Linked DNA regions of Sus scrofa. The protein of the gene in region 2 purifies or fractionates together with the protein of the main gene of each other region. This does not show direct contact. Links are inferred from orthologs where the notes say so. Each region holds a gene or a part of one and is shown on either strand. Other genes may lie near its edges.

What was found. Proteins that work in one complex are often made in the same cells at the same time.
Region 1: the proteins of STK40 (region 2) and TRIB1 purify together in Homo sapiens (affinity purification with mass spectrometry; 3 studies listed by BioGRID and IntAct, counting the BioPlex papers as one, with this or other methods). This does not show direct contact. The link is inferred for Sus scrofa from reciprocal best matches to the Homo sapiens genes STK40 and TRIB1.

The regions. Positions count from the first base shown.
Region 1 is NC_010446.5:14,291,629-14,301,481, reverse strand, and holds the start of TRIB1 (tribbles homolog 1), read left to right. Parts: upstream 1-3,362; 5' UTR 3,363-4,316; coding exon 4,317-4,676; intron 4,677-4,698; exon of another isoform or gene 4,699-6,062; coding exon of another isoform or gene 6,063-6,140; intron 6,141-6,165; exon of another isoform or gene 6,166-6,440; coding exon of another isoform or gene 6,441-6,443; intron 6,444-6,664; coding exon 6,665-6,957; intron 6,958-9,385; coding exon 9,386-9,851; 3' UTR 9,852-9,853. UniProt on the Homo sapiens protein: Adapter protein involved in protein degradation by interacting with COP1 ubiquitin ligase. The COP1-binding motif is masked by autoinhibitory interactions with the protein kinase domain.
Region 2 is NC_010448.4:92,450,514-92,459,811, reverse strand, and holds part of STK40 (serine/threonine-protein kinase 40), read left to right. Parts: intron 1-617; coding exon 618-703; intron 704-1,003; coding exon 1,004-1,147; intron 1,148-3,906; coding exon 3,907-4,134; intron 4,135-4,858; coding exon 4,859-4,911; intron 4,912-9,298. UniProt on the Homo sapiens protein: May be a negative regulator of NF-kappa-B and p53-mediated gene transcription.

The sequences.
Region 1 (9,853 bases), on a different chromosome or scaffold from region 2:
GGTGCGGAGTTCCCGTCGTGGCTCAGTGGTTAACAAATCTGGCTAGGAACCATGAGGTTTTGGGTTCGATCCCTGGCCTTGCTCAGTGGGTCAAGGATCTGGCATTGCCATGAGCTGTGGTGTAGGTCACAGATGCGGCTCGGATCCCCACGTTGCAGTGGCTGTGGTGTAGGCCGGTGGCTACAGCTCCGATTAGACCCCCAGCCTGGGAACCTCCATATGCCGCAGAAGCAGCCCTGGAAATGGCAAAAAGACAAAAAAAAAAAAAAAAAAATTCGAGGTGTGAATTGGCAAGATGTGTTTGGGGCCCCACCAGGAGCTGGCATGGGTGGGGTGCTGGCAAGGAGACAAGAAAGCTGAGGGTGGAAAGAGAAGTTTGGATGTTATCCGAGGGTCCCTGCAAGGTTTTTAGGCCAGGGCCCGAGATGATCAAATTTCAATGTTAGAAAAAGGACTCTGATGGCTGTGTGGGGAATGGATTGAGGGAGCTCAAGCACACATTTTGTGTAGTCACCGTTACATCTCGGGCGCCTCCCAGGAACACAGGCAGAGGAGGTGCTCGGGGTATGCGGCAGGGATGAGGGAGTGACCCCATTAGGAGTTTACTACAGAAATCCAGGAGCAAAAGTGCAGGGCTTATATCAGTCAGGAAAACAGAACCCAGGCCGGGAAATTCAATGGGAAGAATTAAAGCAGGGAGCCAGTTACAAAGGTCTGGGAAGAACAGAAGCCAAAGAGAGCAAAACAACACGGTAGGGGGGTAGTCCAGAGATTAGCAGCTGGAAGCTACTTCTACCCTAGGGCTGGAGGGACAAAAGCGGTGGGTGTCACTTCTTCCCTGGAGCCAGAGTGCCTTGAGAGAGCCGGGACGAAGGAGGAGGAAAGGGGAGGGCGGGTCTCCCAGGAAGTGGACTCCGATGGAGATTAGCACGCAGGTTTATTAAGGAATGCTTTTGGAAGGGGAGGAAAGGAACACGACAGGGCTGGATGCAATCTCCAGAAAGAATTCAGATGACCCTAAATTGCCGGGCTGAAGCTGGGATGCCCTTCAGAGGGGGCTCAAATTGAGGCAAGGAGGCTGAACCTGTGTACTCCACAGTCACTTGTCATTGGATGTGGACCTCCTGGGAAAGGAGTGTGAACTTGAACAAGGCAGCCTTTCTCAGTCCAGGCGGTTTCCAAAATGGATTTACAAAAGGCAGCCAGGGGAGTGGAAGGTGGGGTGGGCATGGGTGGATAATTCCTTCTATCCAGTAGGAGGATCTGGCAGCCACACAGACGGGCTGTCTGGGGAAGGGGAATGGGGCGGGATAAAGGTCTGGAGCCACAGAAGAGGTGCGGCCATTGTCCCAAGCAGTCCCGTCTCCCTCCAGGGCTTCCCTCTGGGCAAAATGGGCTGCAAGCCAGTGGCCAAGGGAGCTTGAGACATAGTCTGCAAGGAGAGTTAGGAGGGGAGGGCAGGGGATGGCTCTGAGAGCAAGCAGATCTAGGATGGACCCAGGGACAACCCAGTGGGGGACAGGAAAAAGGCGGATTCATGAGGAAATCGCTGCTAAAGATTCTGGACCCGGGGGTGGCGATGCCTTTCTCTTCGAAGAGGCAGGAAAGGGGGTGTGCACTTCGAGGAAGATGCTGATGGTCCACGCTGAGTTTGCCATCCTAGTGCAGATGCTAAGCTGGCAGCTCAGTGGGTCTTGAATAGCTGGCACAAAATCAATGTGAAAGAGAGAAAATCAGGGCTCTCTCCCAGTTATAAGACCAAGTGCATCCTCCTCAGCCAGAATTGGAGCTCTTCTTGTTTTCCCCAAGGACTTCTGCAGGCTCAGCTCCACCTGGGCAGGCACTCTGGCCTCTAAAGTTCCCCACTTCCTTGCTCTCTTCTCCCCCCACCCCCCCCCGCAACTTCTTACAGCCCCACACATGCCCCCAGGTCAACCGCTTCTAGATGGAATCCTCCCTAACCCCTCTCTTCCCTCTGCAAATTGTAATCTGTTTTTTGAGTACCCACAAGTGCTTAAGAGCTTGAATGCTCCACCTTTTAGTAGTGATTTGATCACAGCAAGTAACTTCGTCTTTGCAGGCTTCTCCCTCTTGAAAAGGGGCAAAAAATAACCCAACGGGGTGGCTGTAAGACTGCAGTGACTATGTGTAAAGTGCTAAGAACTGTGCCTGGCATTTTACAGACCTCAATTAACGTTAGCTATTATTATTTTAATGCTCAATCTTCTAATCCCCAGCGTCTAGCTCTTACTAGATGCTTCATTAGTATTTGCTGAATGAATGGAGATTTAATATGGAAAAAATTTATCCTTGGGGCTCGACCTGGTTTTAGAAAATGAAATTTTTAGTACAAGGGCAGAAGGGATTCTGATAATAGCTATGTACGCTGGGTGTCCAGGGACTCCAAATCGACCTGGTTCTTGAAAGAAAGAAAAACGATAGATTCTAGGTTGCTTTTTCATGGAGCTTTGTGCAGCGTCTGACACACATTTCGCGCTCACCGCAATCACGTTGCACGAGTGCACGCACACGCCCTGGCAGGGCTGCCCGGGTGTAGGAAGTATCACTGTCGGTGGCAGAATGACTCCCACTCCGCTACCCGGCCACCACGGAACTGGGCTGGGCTGGCCCCGGGGCCCCAGACCCTGCAGGGCGTGTGGAGGCCGGGGAGGGGGCTAGAATCCAGCGGCGGCCACGTGGGCCCCTTCCGCCCTCTCCCCACATCCTTTGTTTCCCACCGGCCCCGGCTCAGGAAGCTCTTTCTGCGAGTCACCGCGAAGGGGCGGCCGGGGAGCCTGGAGAAGCTATTTCCGTGCAATCCCGGCGGGCGGCAGGCGCGGGAGGGGCGTGGAGGTGGAGGCAGCGCAGAAGGCCCAGTGTTTGCTTTTATTTCATCCAACAGAAGGTTCTATTTGTGGAAGCGAACAGACGCTGGGGATTAGAGCTGGGAGGGGGCAGGAAAAGGAAAAAAAAAAAAACAAAAAACCACATCCACAACCACGCATAGGTCTTCCCCGGAACTACCGCGTGGGGGTGAATGAGTGATTCTGGAATTCATCACCTTCTCTCTCTTCCTTTCCGCCGACTACCGCCGGGCCTCGCGACGCCCACGGCTCCAACCGGAGGTCCCAGGGCGCGGGGCGGTCGGTTGCGGGGGGAGATCCCCAGGGCAAAAGGCGTCACCGCGCGGCTGCAGCGAGCAGCGGGTGCAGCGAGCCTTGGTGCGCGCGCCCGCAGTCCATTGTGCTCGGTGTGAATGGGGAGCGCGCACCAATCAGCGGTCGCTTCGCCCCCCACGGCCCCACCCCTCCCGCCCACTTCCCGGGGACCCTGACGTCACGGGAACTTTTCCTCCACCCCCTCCTCCAGCTTCTAGCTTTGAGCCCGCTGCCTGCCGGAGGGCGCGCGCCGCCTCCTGCTTAGCCCAGCCCGGGGGGCGTGTGCGCGCGCCCCAGCCAGCTCGGGACACACCACCTGCGCCAGAGCGCGCGCTGCCCGGAGCATCCCAGCCCTCGGGCCACCCCCATCGCCCCCGCCGACCCAGCTCCTCCTCCCTCCTCCCAGCCTCCCCCCCCCCTCTCCGGTGACTGCTCGCCCAGCGGCAGGGCCCGAGTCGTCGCAGCCACCTCATTGCACAACCCGGCTTCCCAACTGTTTACACAGCCCGGCCTGTGAGTGTATGTGTGTATACAGCGTGAGTCACCGGGAGGCGGAGGAGGTGGAGGAAAAGGAGAAGGAGGAGTGCACTGGCCAGGATCGGTGCTGCGCACACACTCACTCACTCACACTCAGTCACTCTCTCTGAGCGCGTCTCGCTCGGGCACACTCACGCCGGGAGCCCGGAGCGCGCAGGATCCCGAGCGCCGCGGAAAAGTTGCTCCGGCTTTGGCCCCGAGACTTATTGCTTTGGGAAGTGCATTTGCTCCGTGGCTCCGCCGAGCCTGCGGAATCCTGTACTCGCTGTTTCGGACCTCGGTAAGGCCAGCCACCGCCACCTCTGCCTCCCTGACTGTCGGCAGCCTCGACAACAATAGCGGCGGCCGCCCCCTGCCAGGTGCCCGGAGCCGATACCGCGGGGGTCTGAGGACCCGAGCCGGCCTCCCACCCCGGGACGCGCAGCCACGGTGGTTCTCGCGTGTACCGCCAGCGCCGGGGAGAGGCTCCGGCTTTGCCCCCCGTGGGGGCCGAACCAAGCTCCGTCTGCAAACTCCATCCTGCGGGCTGGAATACGTCGCGGCGCCGGCGCCGACCCCGTCGCGCCTTCCCGCGCCGATCCGAGGACGTACAAAGCCGGGGCCGTCCCGGCGCCGGACGGGATGCGGGTCGGTCCCGTGCGCTCTGCTATGAGCGGCGTCTCGCAGCCCCGAGCCCCGGCCTTGCTGCTCCCGGCCGGCCGGGGCGCTCCTGCCAAACGCCTGCTGGACGCGGACGACGCGGCGGCGGTGGCGGCCAAGTGCCCACGTCTCTCCGAGTGCTCAAACCCTCCGGACTACCTCAGCCCCCCTGGCTCTCCCTGCAGCCCGCAGCCTCCGCCCGCCGCGCCCGGGGCTGGCGGCGGCTCCGGGAGCGCGCCGGGGCCCAGCCGCATCGCCGACTACCTGCTGCTGCCCCTGGCCGAGCGCGAACATGTGTCCCGGGCGCTGTGCATCCACACGGGCCGCGAGCTGCGCTGCAAGGTAGGCACCCGGAGGCCGAGGCCGAGCGGAGGTCGCGGGGTGGGGAGACACGGTGGCAGCAGAGTTATTTGGGGTTTCCTCAGACGACGCCCGGGGGCCGAAGGTGCCACCAGCGCTTGGGCTTAGGGCAAGGCGGATAAGTGTGTTTGAGTCCGGCAAGGTAGCATTGGACCGGGTTCACTATAAGGGATTGAGGGGTTCGGATGGAGTGGTATAATGGGGTCTTGGCGGTCAAGAGGAAGTGCGGTCCTCAGTTTTTTTTCTCTATGATTTCCTTAATGCCCAGTTTAGCGTGTGGCGTTCCACATAAGTTGTGGAATTGGTGGAATTGAAATGGATTCCAGGGCCATGCCTTTCCCCTTTTCTCATTCTCCTCGCTTCCCACTCCCTCCCCCCGCCCCTTGTTCTGGAGGGACGCCCTGCAGTGGGTTCCTCCTTGGAGCTTGGAGCAGCTGGCAGCTCTCTTGCTGGGGCTGCGAGGCATCCTGGCTCAGCTGCGGGTGATAGGGGGGCGGGCAGCCCGTGTCGGGCTCGGGTCTTGGGAATTCCGGTTGGAACCTGCGCTGGGACAGGGACCCTGTCCTCCCCGAGAGCAGTCTGAGGGGACCTTCCAATCAGGGCGGGGGAACTTGACGGGAGGAGGAGTGTTGGAAAGCCTACACTGGCTAGGAACCCTGGTATCCATTCGTGTCTTGATTTTCCGGCCAGCGATTTTCTTTTGAACATTAGGGATTCCATCCAGGAGATACAACTCCTGGAAACAGGATCCTGCGCGCGCTCCTCCTGCGCCCACAGACGCAGAACAGTCCCACAGTCCATCTACGCTTTGCGAGCTGCACGCCCGGGCCTCACACATCCCCGAGAACCCTCCAGGCTGCTCCTTTTTACCTGAAAGATAGGATCACCCCTCAGTTCAAGTCGCTCTTGGGTTTTCCGCGACTCACCTGACCCTCACCTTCCCGTCCCTGGGCTCGCTGCTGCCACCTACTGTCCGACCCGAACGAAACTTCAAAGGCATAATCGAGCCCGGTTGAAAGGGGGGAAAAATCTTTTCTTCTGGGTCGCTGGGGCTGTGAACTGTTTTGGGAAGAGAATGAGTGTGGGTTGGGGTGGGAGGAAGGGGGCAGCAGAGAGATTTCTGGAGCTGGTTCCAGAGCAGTCAGGCCTCAGAGGTGGGGTGGGTCTGGTCATTGTGCAACCCCTTCCAGTTCCTCCCAGCAGATAATAGCTGAATCCAGATGGTGACAGCCCGTGTGTCACCGTTTCCAGTCGAGTCTAGGATATGAGTAACCGGACTAAACAAAAGGCCCTTAAAGAGACCAGCCAGCTTCTTAGAGGAGATGCTGCCCATTTCCGGGGTGAAGGGGGGAGGGGAGAGATAAATAAATGAAAAAAACCCCGGAGAGAATCGTATGGTCCTGTGGGAATTTTAACTCAAGAGTACATCTCCCTGAGCCTCAGCAGGTTGCTTAGGGCTGTGTTGACAGTCAGTCCCTCTTTCTTTCTCTCTGGGAGTCATCTGTTCCTCTGTCTGATGGCAGAGCTGCATGTTCTTTAGCCCGTGCTTCCACTTGGAGGCTGCGGAGTCGTACATTTCCAGGGCTCCTGGAGATCCCTGGGGGACCTCTAGCAGTCACTTTGCCTAGCATTACCTGCCGATAAGGAAGGGCCACAGAGGATGGTGACGAAGGAGCTTAGTTAGCTCTTTGGAGCTGGTGGCCTCAGGGGAAGCCATACATAGAAGACTTCTTTCCAACCATCCATATGGTAGCTCTTTGGATATTTGCTCAACCAGAGCCCAAGATGCTCCTGGTTCTCGGTGCTGGGGGCTGCATCAGTTGGGGTTGCTGAGCTAAGGGGGTGGAGGGGAAATGAATGGAGCCTTGCTTCCATCAAAGCCTGGAGAGGGAGAACTGCAGCCCAGCCCAGGATCTGGGAGGCAGCCTCTGCTTTTCTAGCCTCCTAAGTGGGTCACCTTCTCTCTGCAGGTGTTTCCCATTAAACACTACCAGGACAAAATCCGGCCTTACATCCAGCTGCCATCACACAGGAACATCACTGGCATCGTGGAAGTGATCCTCGGGGAAACCAAGGCCTATGTCTTCTTTGAAAGGGACTTTGGGGACATGCACTCCTATGTGCGCAGCCGGAAGAGGCTGCGGGAGGAGGAGGCCGCCCGGCTCTTCAAGCAGATCGTCTCTGCCGTTGCCCACTGCCACCAGTCGGCCATCGTGCTGGGGGACCTGAAGCTTAGGAAATTTGTCTTCTCCACGGAGGAGAGGTGAGCGGCCCCCACAGCCCCTCCTCTGCCTTTTGGGCACCAAAACGAAGGTGGTAGAGCCATTAGGTGCAGTGTGTTGGTTCAAACACCACCAAGCTCTCAGCTGTCCCAGAGTTAGTATTTAGGGGTCCCCTCCTGAGGAGCCAAGGCCAAGGTTGGTTATGCGGCCCCCTTGTGGATGTGGCGTGGGGACCCCTTGGTGCATCTGGGGGATGTCACATGATGACAGGATGCCCTCCCCACTTCTACCCGGGATCCGTTTTATCACATTGTCATCAGAAAGGTCAGCTCTTCTGGGGTACAGATGTCAACCTGCATCATTCCTAGAGGACATCTTCGAATCCTTGTTTATACTGAGCGGGTTTGTTTCGTTCTGTGTGTTTGGCTTTTGTACCCAGTAAATATCACAGAGCTAGTCAGCCTGTTGTATTTGCAGAATTCCGTCTCCTTCCTTCACTCCGCACTCCTGTTCCATGTCAGGCCTGCCCCCCCCATATTTTCTCCACGTTCTCTAGTGACTTTTTAGACATCTTGTTTGGCTCCATCTTCAGAAAATAGCTACACTGAATAATAAATGGAAGTTGGCTGGAATTGGTTGCTAAATATAGATCCTGACTTACCTCATAAAGAACAAGATGAGCTCGATAAGACAATAATGAGACATTAAGATTCAGAGCTGAGGTTTCAGACAAGAGAATTCAGGAAGCCGCAGGAGATAAACCTTACCTGATTTTAAGAGGTGGGGCCACATCCCTAGTGGAAAGATTAAAAAGCAATACTATTGTATGATTGCAGAGGTGGGTGGGTGTTATTTTGTGGTAGCCATGCAAGCAGGGCTCACTCCACCTGTGCCTTTTTTACCCTGAAGTTATTCAGGCCCTGTGAAAAAGGGCAGGGTTGAGTTGCCAGAAAGCAAGGCTTTGTGCCTGACCTTGCATAAGTATTAGAACACACTGATTAGCAAAGAAAAGCAAAGTATTGGCAATGAAGAAGTTTCCAATTCCTGGAACACACTCTTAGATATGGTGATGTATTTTCTGAAACATGCCTTACACACCTCCTTGCTGACTTTTGAAATCCGCATTGCACAGGCAGATGTCATGTGCATGGCGTTTGGCAACCCGAGGGTTAAGCAATGGCAGGCTGACGCTATTCGTGTAACCAGCACAGGTGCAGGGTTTTAGTACTACAGCAGCCAATCAGCGGCAGACAGTGTGGGTTGAGTCATATTTTCCGTTTACAGAACCAATGGGTATTTTACATAACGACGGGGAGGTCAGGCTGAGGACATACCGAAGTTAGCACATGTATACTACACTCCAGGGAACAGGAAGGCAGGAAGAAAAAAAAAAAAAAAAACAAGTAGACCTTTGAGAGGAAAAGGAATTGACCCAGTAGCCTGTACGAAATGTTTGCATTTAACTTCACAACAAGTGACTTACTGAAACAGGGCTGGGAGGAGCCCAAGTGGCCACCAGATATTGGAGGCTCCCCATGTGGCTCTGGGCTTTGGGGGAACCAAGGGGCTTGAGAGGTTGGATCGGAACAAAGAGGCACCTGCAGCCTCATCAGAGGCTTGACTAAAGATTTTTCAAACTTTTAGTTTTTACCTGAACAGAGAAAATATGCTCAAGTGTTGATGTGTCATCCTTGTGTGTGTGTGTGTGTGCGCGCACGTGCGCAGGCTTTTTAGGGCTCCTACATCTTTTAAATCCATCAGCCGCTTCTCTGTCTTCTTTGTCCAGGTTAAGCATTCTTTGCAGTGAAACATCCCAATAAATGTAATTAATATTCCTTGTACTTGTACGCACAGTCATCACAGCTCGGGCTCAGGTGGACAGAGTTCCCTCTGTGTGTGTATGTCAACGTGAGCAGGAGTGCTAACAACCTGTGGGTAATAACAGTGACCTTAGACTCCACTTTCTGTACTGTTCTCTAAGGCAAAGCGTGGGTCCCAGGAGCCCTGGCAGTCCCTGGCCTGCTAAGAGATAAGATCGGCTTGTAGGATGCGCAGGCTTTCCCTGAAGAATTAGGATCAACTGCTCTTCCCTGATAGCTTTTGGAGAAAAGTCAGCATTCCCTGAGACAGGCTCCCACTGCTGCAATGTGAATTGTGTAAATTGTGTAACTCTTGTTCGGTAGGATCTCTCGTATAAGCTGCAGCATGATGAATAGTATTTGGGGCTTTGCATCATACCCTCCACCCCAGGCGCTCTCTGAATACTTTGCAAATGTTTATTGCAGTTTGTATTGGTTTGTGAAATCCTGAGTCCTCCTGGGTGGTTGCAAGGCACTGCGTACTGGACAAAGGGGTAACTGGCATTCCTCCAGCCTCTGCGAGGAGCGCCTGTGGGCGCTGTTATTGGGAGGGCCCTGTTTTTCAGAGCAGCTGATCTGGAAGTAATGGCTTGCTTCCTCTCTCCTGCAGAACCCAGCTCCGACTGGAGAGCCTCGAAGATACACACATCATTAAGGGAGAAGATGATGCTCTATCAGACAAACACGGCTGCCCCGCCTACGTGAGCCCGGAGATCCTGAACACCACAGGGACCTACTCCGGGAAAGCGGCCGACGTTTGGAGCCTCGGGGTGATGCTCTACACCCTTTTGGTGGGACGCTACCCCTTCCATGACTCAGACCCCAGTGCCCTTTTCTCCAAAATCCGACGTGGACAGTTCTGCATTCCCGACCACATTTCCCCCAAAGCCAGGTGCCTCATTCGCAGCCTCCTGAGACGGGAGCCTTCCGAGAGACTTACGGCTCCCGAGATCTTACTCCATCCCTGGTTCCAGTCGGTCTTGGAACCTGGGTACGTGGACCCAGAAATAGGAACTTCCGATCAGATTGTTCCAGAGTACCAGGAGGACAGCGACATCAGTTCCTTCTTCTGCTAATC
Region 2 (9,298 bases):
TGACTAGGAACCATGAGGTTGCGGGTTCGGTCCCTACCCTTGCTCAGTGGGTTAATGATCCGGCGTTGCCATGAGCTGTGGTGTAGGTCGCAGACGCAGCTCGGATCTGGCATTGCTGTGGCTCTGGCGTAGGCCGGTGGCTACAGCTCCGATTCGACTCCAGCCTGGGAACCTCCATGTGCCGCGAGAGCGGCCCGAGAAATGGCAAAAAGACAAAAAAATAAAATAAAATAAAATAAAAAATAAAAGCATCCCTGCAAAAAAAAAAAAGAATCTGGCATTGCTGTGAGCTGTGGTATAGGTTGCAGACGCAGCTCGTATCTCAGGTTGCTGTGGCTGTGGTGTAGGCTGGCAGCTACAGCTCCAATTGGACCCCTAGCCTGGGAACCTCCATATGCCGCATGTGGGGCCCTACAAAGCAAAAAAAAAAAAAAAGCTGGGTGTACTCAGGCACATGGACACGTACCCCTACATTTTCAGAGGGGACATTGTGAGTTCAGTGGATGTGAACCATATGCCCTCCAGGAGAGAAGATCTAGCCAAAAGACCACATGGCGGCTCAGTGCCACCGTAGACAGGGTTCCTGAGAAGTAAGCGAGTGGCTCTTTGTGCCATAGGTCCCCGTCTGGGCAACTCACCGGTGCCAAGCATCGTCCAGTGTTTGGCAAGGAAAGATGGCACAGATGACTTCTACCAGCTGAAGGTAAGTGAGGTACCAGATGTGGGGAGCCATCCTGCCAGCTTGGCTCCTCCCTCCTCCCAGCTTCTCCTGCATCTCTCATGACCAAGAGCAGTGCCATTTCTTCCTGGGGTGCTGTTGGTGTGTACACACATTGCCATTACGCTGGGAAAGACCTTTTCACTTCGTCCATGCATGTGTGGGCACATGTGCCAGGGTGGCGTGGGAGGACGTGACCCCCTGCTTCTCCTGTTTTGGTCACCCTGCTTGGAAAATTAAGGGCTGGGGGTTTTGTTTTTTTTTGTGTGTGTGTGCCTTCTAAAGATCCTCACCCTTGAGGAGAGGGGCGACCAAGGGATAGAAAGCCAGGAGGAAAGGCAAGGCAAGATGCTGTTACACACTGAGTACTCCCTGCTCTCCCTCCTCCACACGCAGGATGGCGTGGTTCACCACCACGGGCTCTTCCAGGTGAGTGGCAGAGGGGGCTGCCTGTCGTCCCCCCACCCCCGCATCATGCTAGCGAGGCCCCCCCCCCGCTGCCCGTTGTCTCCCTGCAGTGGTGTTTCCCAGTGGGTCGGCTGGAGGTCAGGCTGGGCCAGCACGCCTGCTATGATGATGGCAGCCTAGCGGGAATGCACCCGGTTTGCAGCTTGCAGGCTTTCTTTGAGGAGCCGCTTTTCCGAGAAAAGCGGAAAGCAGGAAGTTATTTAAAGACACATGGGCTCCTTCTAGCTGTGTTGTCAGGAACGGCCAGGCCAGGGTGGAAGGGAGGGCGGTGAGGAGGGCTGGGCACCGGGGCATCTGTGGATCTCCCAGTTGCTTTTGGTACCAGCAGTCCTTCTGTCCATCTGGGTGTTTCAGCTTCCATAGCAAAGATCCCTAAGCCCCGGGCTTGGATGTTCCAGGTCCCTTAGGAAAGGTACTAATTAGTAACTGGTACTCTAAAAAGAGCCCTCCTGGGGATAGTTCTGAAACTGCATCTTCGACAAAAAAAAGCTGGGTTCAGAATGCTGGGGGTGAAGGGTCGCCTTGTTCAGGCCCCCCTTGGAGCTTTTGCAGCACCCACAGCCCGATGCTTTGGCCAGACCCACTTATGCTAGGATGAACCTGGTACTTGAGAGGCAGCCTGGTGTCAGGAAGGGCACACAGGTTGTGTGACCTTGGGCAAGTCAGTCACTCAGGTTTCTAAGCCCCAGATTCCTCATCTGCAAAATTGGGATAATGATAATGGTGCCTACCTTGGAAGAAGGTGGTAGGAAATGAATGAGAGGCTATAAGGCACTGAGCCGGAGGTCCTGCTGTGGTGCAGCAGGTTAAGGATCTGGTGTTGTCTCTCTGGTAGTATGGGTTTGATTCCCAGCCTGCTAGCACAGTGGATTAAGGATCTGGCATTGCTAGAGTTGTGGTAGAGGTTACAACTGCGGCTCAGATTCGATCTCTAGCCCTGGAACCTCCATATGCCGTGCATGTGGCCAAAAAAGATGGATGGATAGATGGATGGACGGATGGACGGACAGACAAACAGGGCACTGAGCTGTCCCTTATCAGTTTGATTTCTTGAGGTAAGATAAGTGGAAAATACTTCTCACCCCAACACATACACCCCACCAAGTTCTTATTTTTTCTTTATTGGTCGTTTTGTCTTTTTAGGGCCACACCCGCGGCATATGAAGTTTCACAGGCCAGGGGTCTAATAGGAGCTACATCTGCCAGCCTACACCAGAGCCACAGCAACACAGGGTCCTTAACCCACTGAGTGAGGCCAGGGATCAAACCCACAACCTCATGGTTCCTAGTCAGATTTGTTTTCGCTGCATCACGACGGGAACTCCAGTCTTTATTCTTAGATGTGCAATGAGAGCCAACTCGGAGCATCAGCAGGCAACTCTGAAAATTAGAGTTTTCCTTAAACATGAGATCAAATGAGGGTAGTGATCATGATTTCCTGTTTCATCTCTGGTAGCTTCCAGAGCTAGGCCTTGGTGTAGGTCATTTTGTTTGTTTGTTTGTTTTGGTCTTTTGTCTTTTTAGGGCTATACCTGCGGCATATGTAGATTCCCAGGCTAGGGGTCTAGTAGGAGCTGTGGCTGCCGGCCCACACCACAGCCACAGCAACACTGGATCCGAGCCACATCTGCGACCTACATCACAGCTCATGGCAACACCGAATCCTTAACCTACTGAGCAAGGCCAGGGATTAAGCCCGCAACCTCATGGTTCCTAGTCGGATTCGTTTCCGCTGCACCACGACAGGAACTCTGGTGTAGGTCATTTTGGATAAGAGAACCTGAGTGTTTAGAAGTATTTCCAGAGTCCTCTGTGTGCCAGATGCTGGGCCTCTGGGGAAGAGAGGATGAGAGTTAGGATCCTGCCCTGAAGGAGCAGTGTGGATGTTTCATCCCCTGGAGTTCCTAGTCTGCTGGGTTGACACTGAGGGCCTCCTCAGGCTGGCAGGATAAAAGTCCTCGTGTTGCACGTGTGTTTTCTCTCACTGGAAGTACCTTTTCAGCAAGGAAAATGGGTCCAGAACTGCCCACCTGGGGGTTCGTTGCAGTGCCAGCTTACGGAGCCCTGGCTGGGCAGGACCGAGTACTTGGCGTGGTTGCGTTTCTCCCCACAGCCTGTGAGGTAGGGGTTGCTGGCTCCCTGTCACAGACAAGGAGCCAGAGACTTGGAGAGGCTAGGTGAGCTGCCCCGGTCCCACGGCTAGGACACGGTGGAGCCAGGGCCTGCACCCAGCTGTGACATGGCTGCCCAGGAGTCCTCCGTCCATGTGAAAGCAGTTGTCCTGGACACACAGGGCACATGGCTTCCACCATCTTGGGCACTGGAAGGAAGTGGACATTGGTCATTACTAGAAACCCTAGGAGCGCCATGGAGGGGAGGCTGCCCCGGGCCTGGGCCTGCTGCCTGCACCCTGAGCTCAGGGTCCTTTGACTGCCAGTGCCCAGCCCTGATCCAGACACTTTGCATTAGGACCAGAGCATGAAGCCTGAGCCTAAACTACTTCAGCCTCAGCCCTGGCCAAGCCTGGCACTGGCACAGGGGAGGTAGGGGAGTGCTGAGCAGCCCATGGTCCGTGCTGCCCAGGCCTCAGGCCTCCAGCGCCCACACACACAGGCTTTCCCAGGCTCCCTCACTGGTTTGTGTGGTCAGCTCCAGAGGAGCCCCAAGGCCCTGGCCCTGCTGGGCCTGTAGCCGAGCCCCGGTCTGCCCCCTCCTCCCAGGACCGCACCTGTGAAATTGTCGAAGATGCAGAATCCAACCGGATGGTTAAGAAGATGAAGAAGCGCATCTGCCTCGTCCTCGACTGCCTCTGCGCTCACGACTTCAGCGACAAGACCGCCGACCTGATCAACCTGCAGCACTACGTCATCAAGGAGAAGAGGCTCAGCGAGCGCGAGACCGTGGTCATCTTCTATGACGTGGTGCGCGTGGTGGAGGCCCTGCACCAGGTGAGGCTCTGCCCAGAGGCATCCTGACCTCCATGCCCTGGAACGCCCCCCTTCCCGTGCTGCTCAGCAGAACCGCACTGTCCTGCCCTCCCCTGGGTGTGCTTTGCAGCTGGGCATGTCCAGAAGGAAGAGGGCCGGATGACAGGCACACCCGCTGAGGTGCAGTGCTGCAGGCCTCGGCCCACAGTGCCGGGCACCCCGCAGAGTCCAGTGCCGTAAAGCCCCATCAGCCCGTAGGCCACGCTGTGGTCTCCCAGCCTCGGCGATGACTTGTGAGCTCTCCATGCGGGCGGTCACAGCCTGTCTCTGAGCTTTCCTAGGGGTGGGGTGTGAGGAGCCTGAGACACGGGTTAGGAGAGCCTGGGCCTCCTCCATGCACACAGCTCCTTGCAGGCCAAGCTGGCCGTACTTGGTCACCAGAACCGTGAGGATTCATCTTGGAGGGTTTTGGTTTGGGTTTTGGTTCTGTTTTGTTTTGTTTCCCCAGTGGGATGTTTGATGGAGACAGAGAGAGGAGTGGTTTTTTGGCTGCCCTGAGGGGAGAAAACAATGTCACCCAATTTGTACACATGGTTAATGAGGCCCAGGAATGGTCCTGATCTGTCTGTGGCTTACACATCAAGGCACAAGCATAACAAGGCAGCACCTAAAAGCCCACTTCTGATAGTCCAGGCCCAACCCTGGCTCTGACCATAGTATAAACCATGGGCCTGTTGTTTTCCAGAAAAATATCGTGCACAGAGACCTGAAACTTGGAAACATGGTGCTCAATAAGAGGTAAACTTCACTTTTCTTCTTTTGTGATGTCACCTTGGGGTTGGGATGGGCTACATGCTGCAACTGCCCAGGGCCCTGCAGCATCCCCACAGGGATTCTGACTCAACACAGCCCACTTCCCCCAGGAATCCCAGGGGCTGGGGGATGCAATGCCTACTTCTGTCTTGCCACATGGGAATATGGTGCTTGCTAAGAAGAGGGGCCGTAAAGGCCACAGAAAGAGCTGTAGGAAGGATTTCAGAGGTCCTCCCTGGTCTGTTCATTTGTCATGCCCAGTGGATATGTAGTAAATGACTATAAAAAAATAGACCAATGGGTGACAGAATAACAGATGAGCAAAATGAGGCCTTGTCGTGGGTCAGGTTCCCAGGAAACAGACTCTGAGATGTGTGTGCAGGAAGTTTGCTGGGCCGTTCCCTCAGGGAGAAGGAGCCGGGATTGCGCCGAGGGAGAAGCTAAACTGTGGCCGGGCATGACAGAGCCTCAGCCTGGAAAGCCTGAGAGCCAGGTAGCCCTTCAGATGTCCCTAATCAAGGCAAGGGGGCTCATGGCCCTGAACCCTCATTGTGACCAGCCACTGAGTGGAGTCTGTGCCCAGGGGCACAGGATTGGTCAGGGCAGCTTCATTTGGCTAAGAAGATGTTCGGGAAGAGGAAGCAGCCATGAGTGGTCAGATGCTGACATTCCTGGCAGCAGGGAGAGAGCCACTCGATCTTAGAGGGGATCTGGGTGGCTCACCCCAGCATCCTTGGTGAGCCAGTGGCAGAGGGAAATCACATAAGGCTCCTGCCTCAGACTCTCACCCCACTCAAGCCGAGCAGAGCCCTTCCGAGTGATCTGGGCACTGACAAAGGGACACCAACCATACCAGGGCCCAGGACCGATGAGTAGGGAGCGTTCTTTGTGCACATGGTCCTGGAACTACCAGGCCTCTGCCACCTGCTCTCCCTGAGCCTCTCACCCTCACCTCCTGGTGTTCAAGTGGGTCGGAGGGCTTGCAGATGGCAGGCAGCACACACCTCATAGCAGAAGAGGTGTGGTGGGGATTTGGTCCATAATGTGGTTGCCTACCCAGGAGGGCCCTGGGCCCGCTATCCTTATGAAATGGCCAACGGCACAGTGGCCACAGGGAGATGGGCCTCTGTGGAGGGGCGTGGGGCACCAGGCCTTGTAGTGCCACCCCAAGATGCCATCGAGAGGGTGCCGCTGCCCCTCAGCGCTCAGCCTGTCTCCAGCCTCACCTGGCACTGGGGCTGCAGACAATCCCCCAGAGTTCATGGCCTGATGGGGGCAACCAGAGGGCAGACACCACCCTCTAATGGAGGGCCTGTGTGCATAGGACAGAGCGGGGCAGTGTCAGTTCATGAAGCATGAGTAAAGGTTTGCCAGCCTGAGAAAGTGAGGTGGTAAAAACTGGGTCCTGAAGTGCTGCATGGGGAGGAGGGAAGGAAACAGGGTTTCAGGGCTGCTTGAACCCTTGACCAGCTGAGAGAGAGCAAAGCTGGGAAGAGCAGGTCTTGGGGGTCAGACCTGGCTCACAGCCCAGCACTGCCTCCTAATTACCCTTGAGACGGGGAGGGCTCATTCATTTGATTATTCGCCCATGGATTAAGTCACTTGTGTATTGAGAGGCTGCTGTGGTACCATGCACTTCTCCGAGTTTCCATGCCCTCTTCCGTGGAAGTGGAGGTGATTATTCCTCCCTGCAGAGACCGGCCCAAGACCTGAGACTGCCTGGCAGGGTTTGGCCCCCCGAAAGTGCAGTCTCGTGCTAGACCAGCTGGGGCCTGGGGGGCCTGTACGCTTGCTCCCTCTGGAGGTGAGGCCCACTGTGTGATGGGTGGCTGATGAGGATGCCAGTGGCAAGGTCCCCCATGCCCCGGCCCCAGGAGGGCAGGTGTTGGAGAATGCAGAGCTTCCCAGCCCTGAGAGCCCATTGTCTTGGCATCAGGAGACTCGGCTCCTGGCCTTCTGTGGGACGTTCCTGCATCCCACTCTGAGCCGCAGGCTCAGTCTTCACAAAGAGGGCATACGCTTTGAACACTTAAGTCCATCTGGCTGCAGAAGTCGTGTCCTCCCAGCCTTCCACGCAGCCCTTTATTGGCTCAAGGTGAGCATCCCGAAGGTGTTTATGGGCACGTGATGTCAGGGGCTCCTGTGCTGCTAACCAGGCCAGCAGCTCAGGCCTCTTTGTCTGCTTGGTGGCTTAGCTTCTGCTCCCACTTCTCCAGGCCCTTGGTTCTGGAAATGTCCTCAGGTCACATCTCCCTTGAGTAAGGCCAGTGTAGCTATAGCAGCTCGTGTGTGTGTGTGTGTGTGTGTGTGTGTGTGTGCGCATGCGCGCGCTGCGCTCGAGTGTCTCAGTTATACAGTTGTTTAATCCAGTAATCCCTTTCCTGTGCTTTGGTCAGTCAGAGGTTCTGGGCACCTCTCATGTGAGGCCTGGGTGCCTGGAAGGCAGAGCTTGTGCTGCAGAAACCACGCTAAGTGCCCAGGGCCCGTTCCTGTGTCTCTGCTGTGGTACCATGCACTTCTCTGAGTTTCCCTTCCCCCTTTGGGGCCTCCCTTTCATCCTTGGGAAGTCAAAGGTGGACCTGGAGGAGCTCCAGCCCCTTCCTGCCCAGCAGGCCAGCCCTCACTCCAGCTGGAGAAACAGTGACAAGCTGGAGGCCCCCAGCACAGCAGAGGAAATGGGGAGAAGGGCTCTCGGGCAGCTGTGGTACCAGTCCCCCTGCTGTGGAGAGAGGGCAGGGTTGCCATCTGAAATCCCCTTTTGGGACTCCATGAGGCTTGCTGCGGGCTCTTTGCCGTCCTCCTTTCTTTCCAGGTGGGCATGTCGCACACCCAGTTCCTAGAAAAGGACACCACGCTGCGGTAGCCTGAGGGCCACAGCTGGAGTGACTCCCAGCAGGTCATGCTGACACGGGACTCCCCCCTTCATCCCTGCTGCCCGCGTCCCTCCTGCCAGGACGCGCCTGAGGGGTCTGGGGTGATGGTGGCAGGGCGGGGAGCATCACCAGGCTTTGGGAGGACTCAGAGCTGCCTGTGCGGTTTCCTGTGGGAGAGGCTCCAGCTCGGCCCTGCTGCGTCGCGCCGAGCTTTCCTTGAGCCCCACATGCAGGCGGCTGGCAAGCCCTGCTGGCAGGGCGGAGTGGAGAGCCCGCCGCACTGGCACGTGCGTTCCAGGCCTGTCGTCACCGTGTGGCTCCTCTCACCCCCCGCCTGGGGGTGCTGCCTTCCCTGGGGTCTCAGATGGTAACCTCTGCCAGCTGTGCCCACTGTCTGAGGAGGTCCCATCTGAGCAAGCAGTTGGTAACCAGTCCCTGTCTGCCAGGTCCTGGATTCAGGGCTTTCCCTGGGATTATCTTCTTATCTCGTTAAATCCTAACAGCCCTGGGACTTAGGTGCTAATATTTTCCCTGTTCTGCGCATGAGGAAATTGAGGGTTAGCAAGAAATTAACTCGCATGACCAAGATCACAGCCAGGAAGGGGCAGAGCCAGGACTAGAACCCAGGATCTGACTCCCAGCCCTGCTGGACCCTCCCGAGCTGACCTCGCAGTGTCTCCAGCTCTGACCAGGGGAAAAACACGGTGTGTCTGCTGTGGGCGGCCCTGGCGGACGAGGGGCTTGAGCAGTCCTGTGCTCGGGACAGTGACGCAGGTGGTGCTAAGCGGGAGCAGGCCACTTCTTGACACGATCCTTGGTCAAGACCCTTCGCCTGTGCTCTCAGGCTCCAGCCAGTCCAGGGGCCACCAGGCAGGTTTCTGTGGCATGTGTCAGGGCAGGCCTGTTCGGAGAGCGAGAGTCAGCGTTTCCGTTTGGAACACCGAGGACAGACTGGCCTTTGTTTTGCCCCAAGCCTTTGCCAACAGAATTCCCCAAGAAGGCTCAAGGGCTCTTGGAGCCTCTTGAACGCAGCCCCGCACACGTGTGCCTCTGAGCCGACCTCCTTCCCACCCTGGAGGCTCTTCTAGGGAGAGGCCACCCGGGGCCCTGGTGGGGCCTCCCTTCCTGCCGTCCTCCTCACCTTCTCTGCTCAGCTGGCCAACCCCGGAGCCTGGCAGGTGGCCCGGCTCACCTTTGGGTGGGGAGGTGCCCTTCCTCCCTGCTCCCCCCAGGCCAAGGAAGCTCTGCACCCCAGCTCGTCCACATCCAGGGGTGGTGTACAGCGTCCTCACTGGGCCACTGACTTCTCATTGTGAGCTTCCTAGAAAGGGTCAGAGCCCAAAGCCGCTCTCAAAGCAGCTCTCTCAGCTGGGGGATGTGGGGTTTTCCAAGTCAGTGTAGAGTCTACAGAAGACCAGGCGTGAATCAGCTCAGATGGAACAGAAGGGAGAGTCAGGGGCTGGGCACAGTCCAGGGACACGGTGGGCACCGCACTGGTG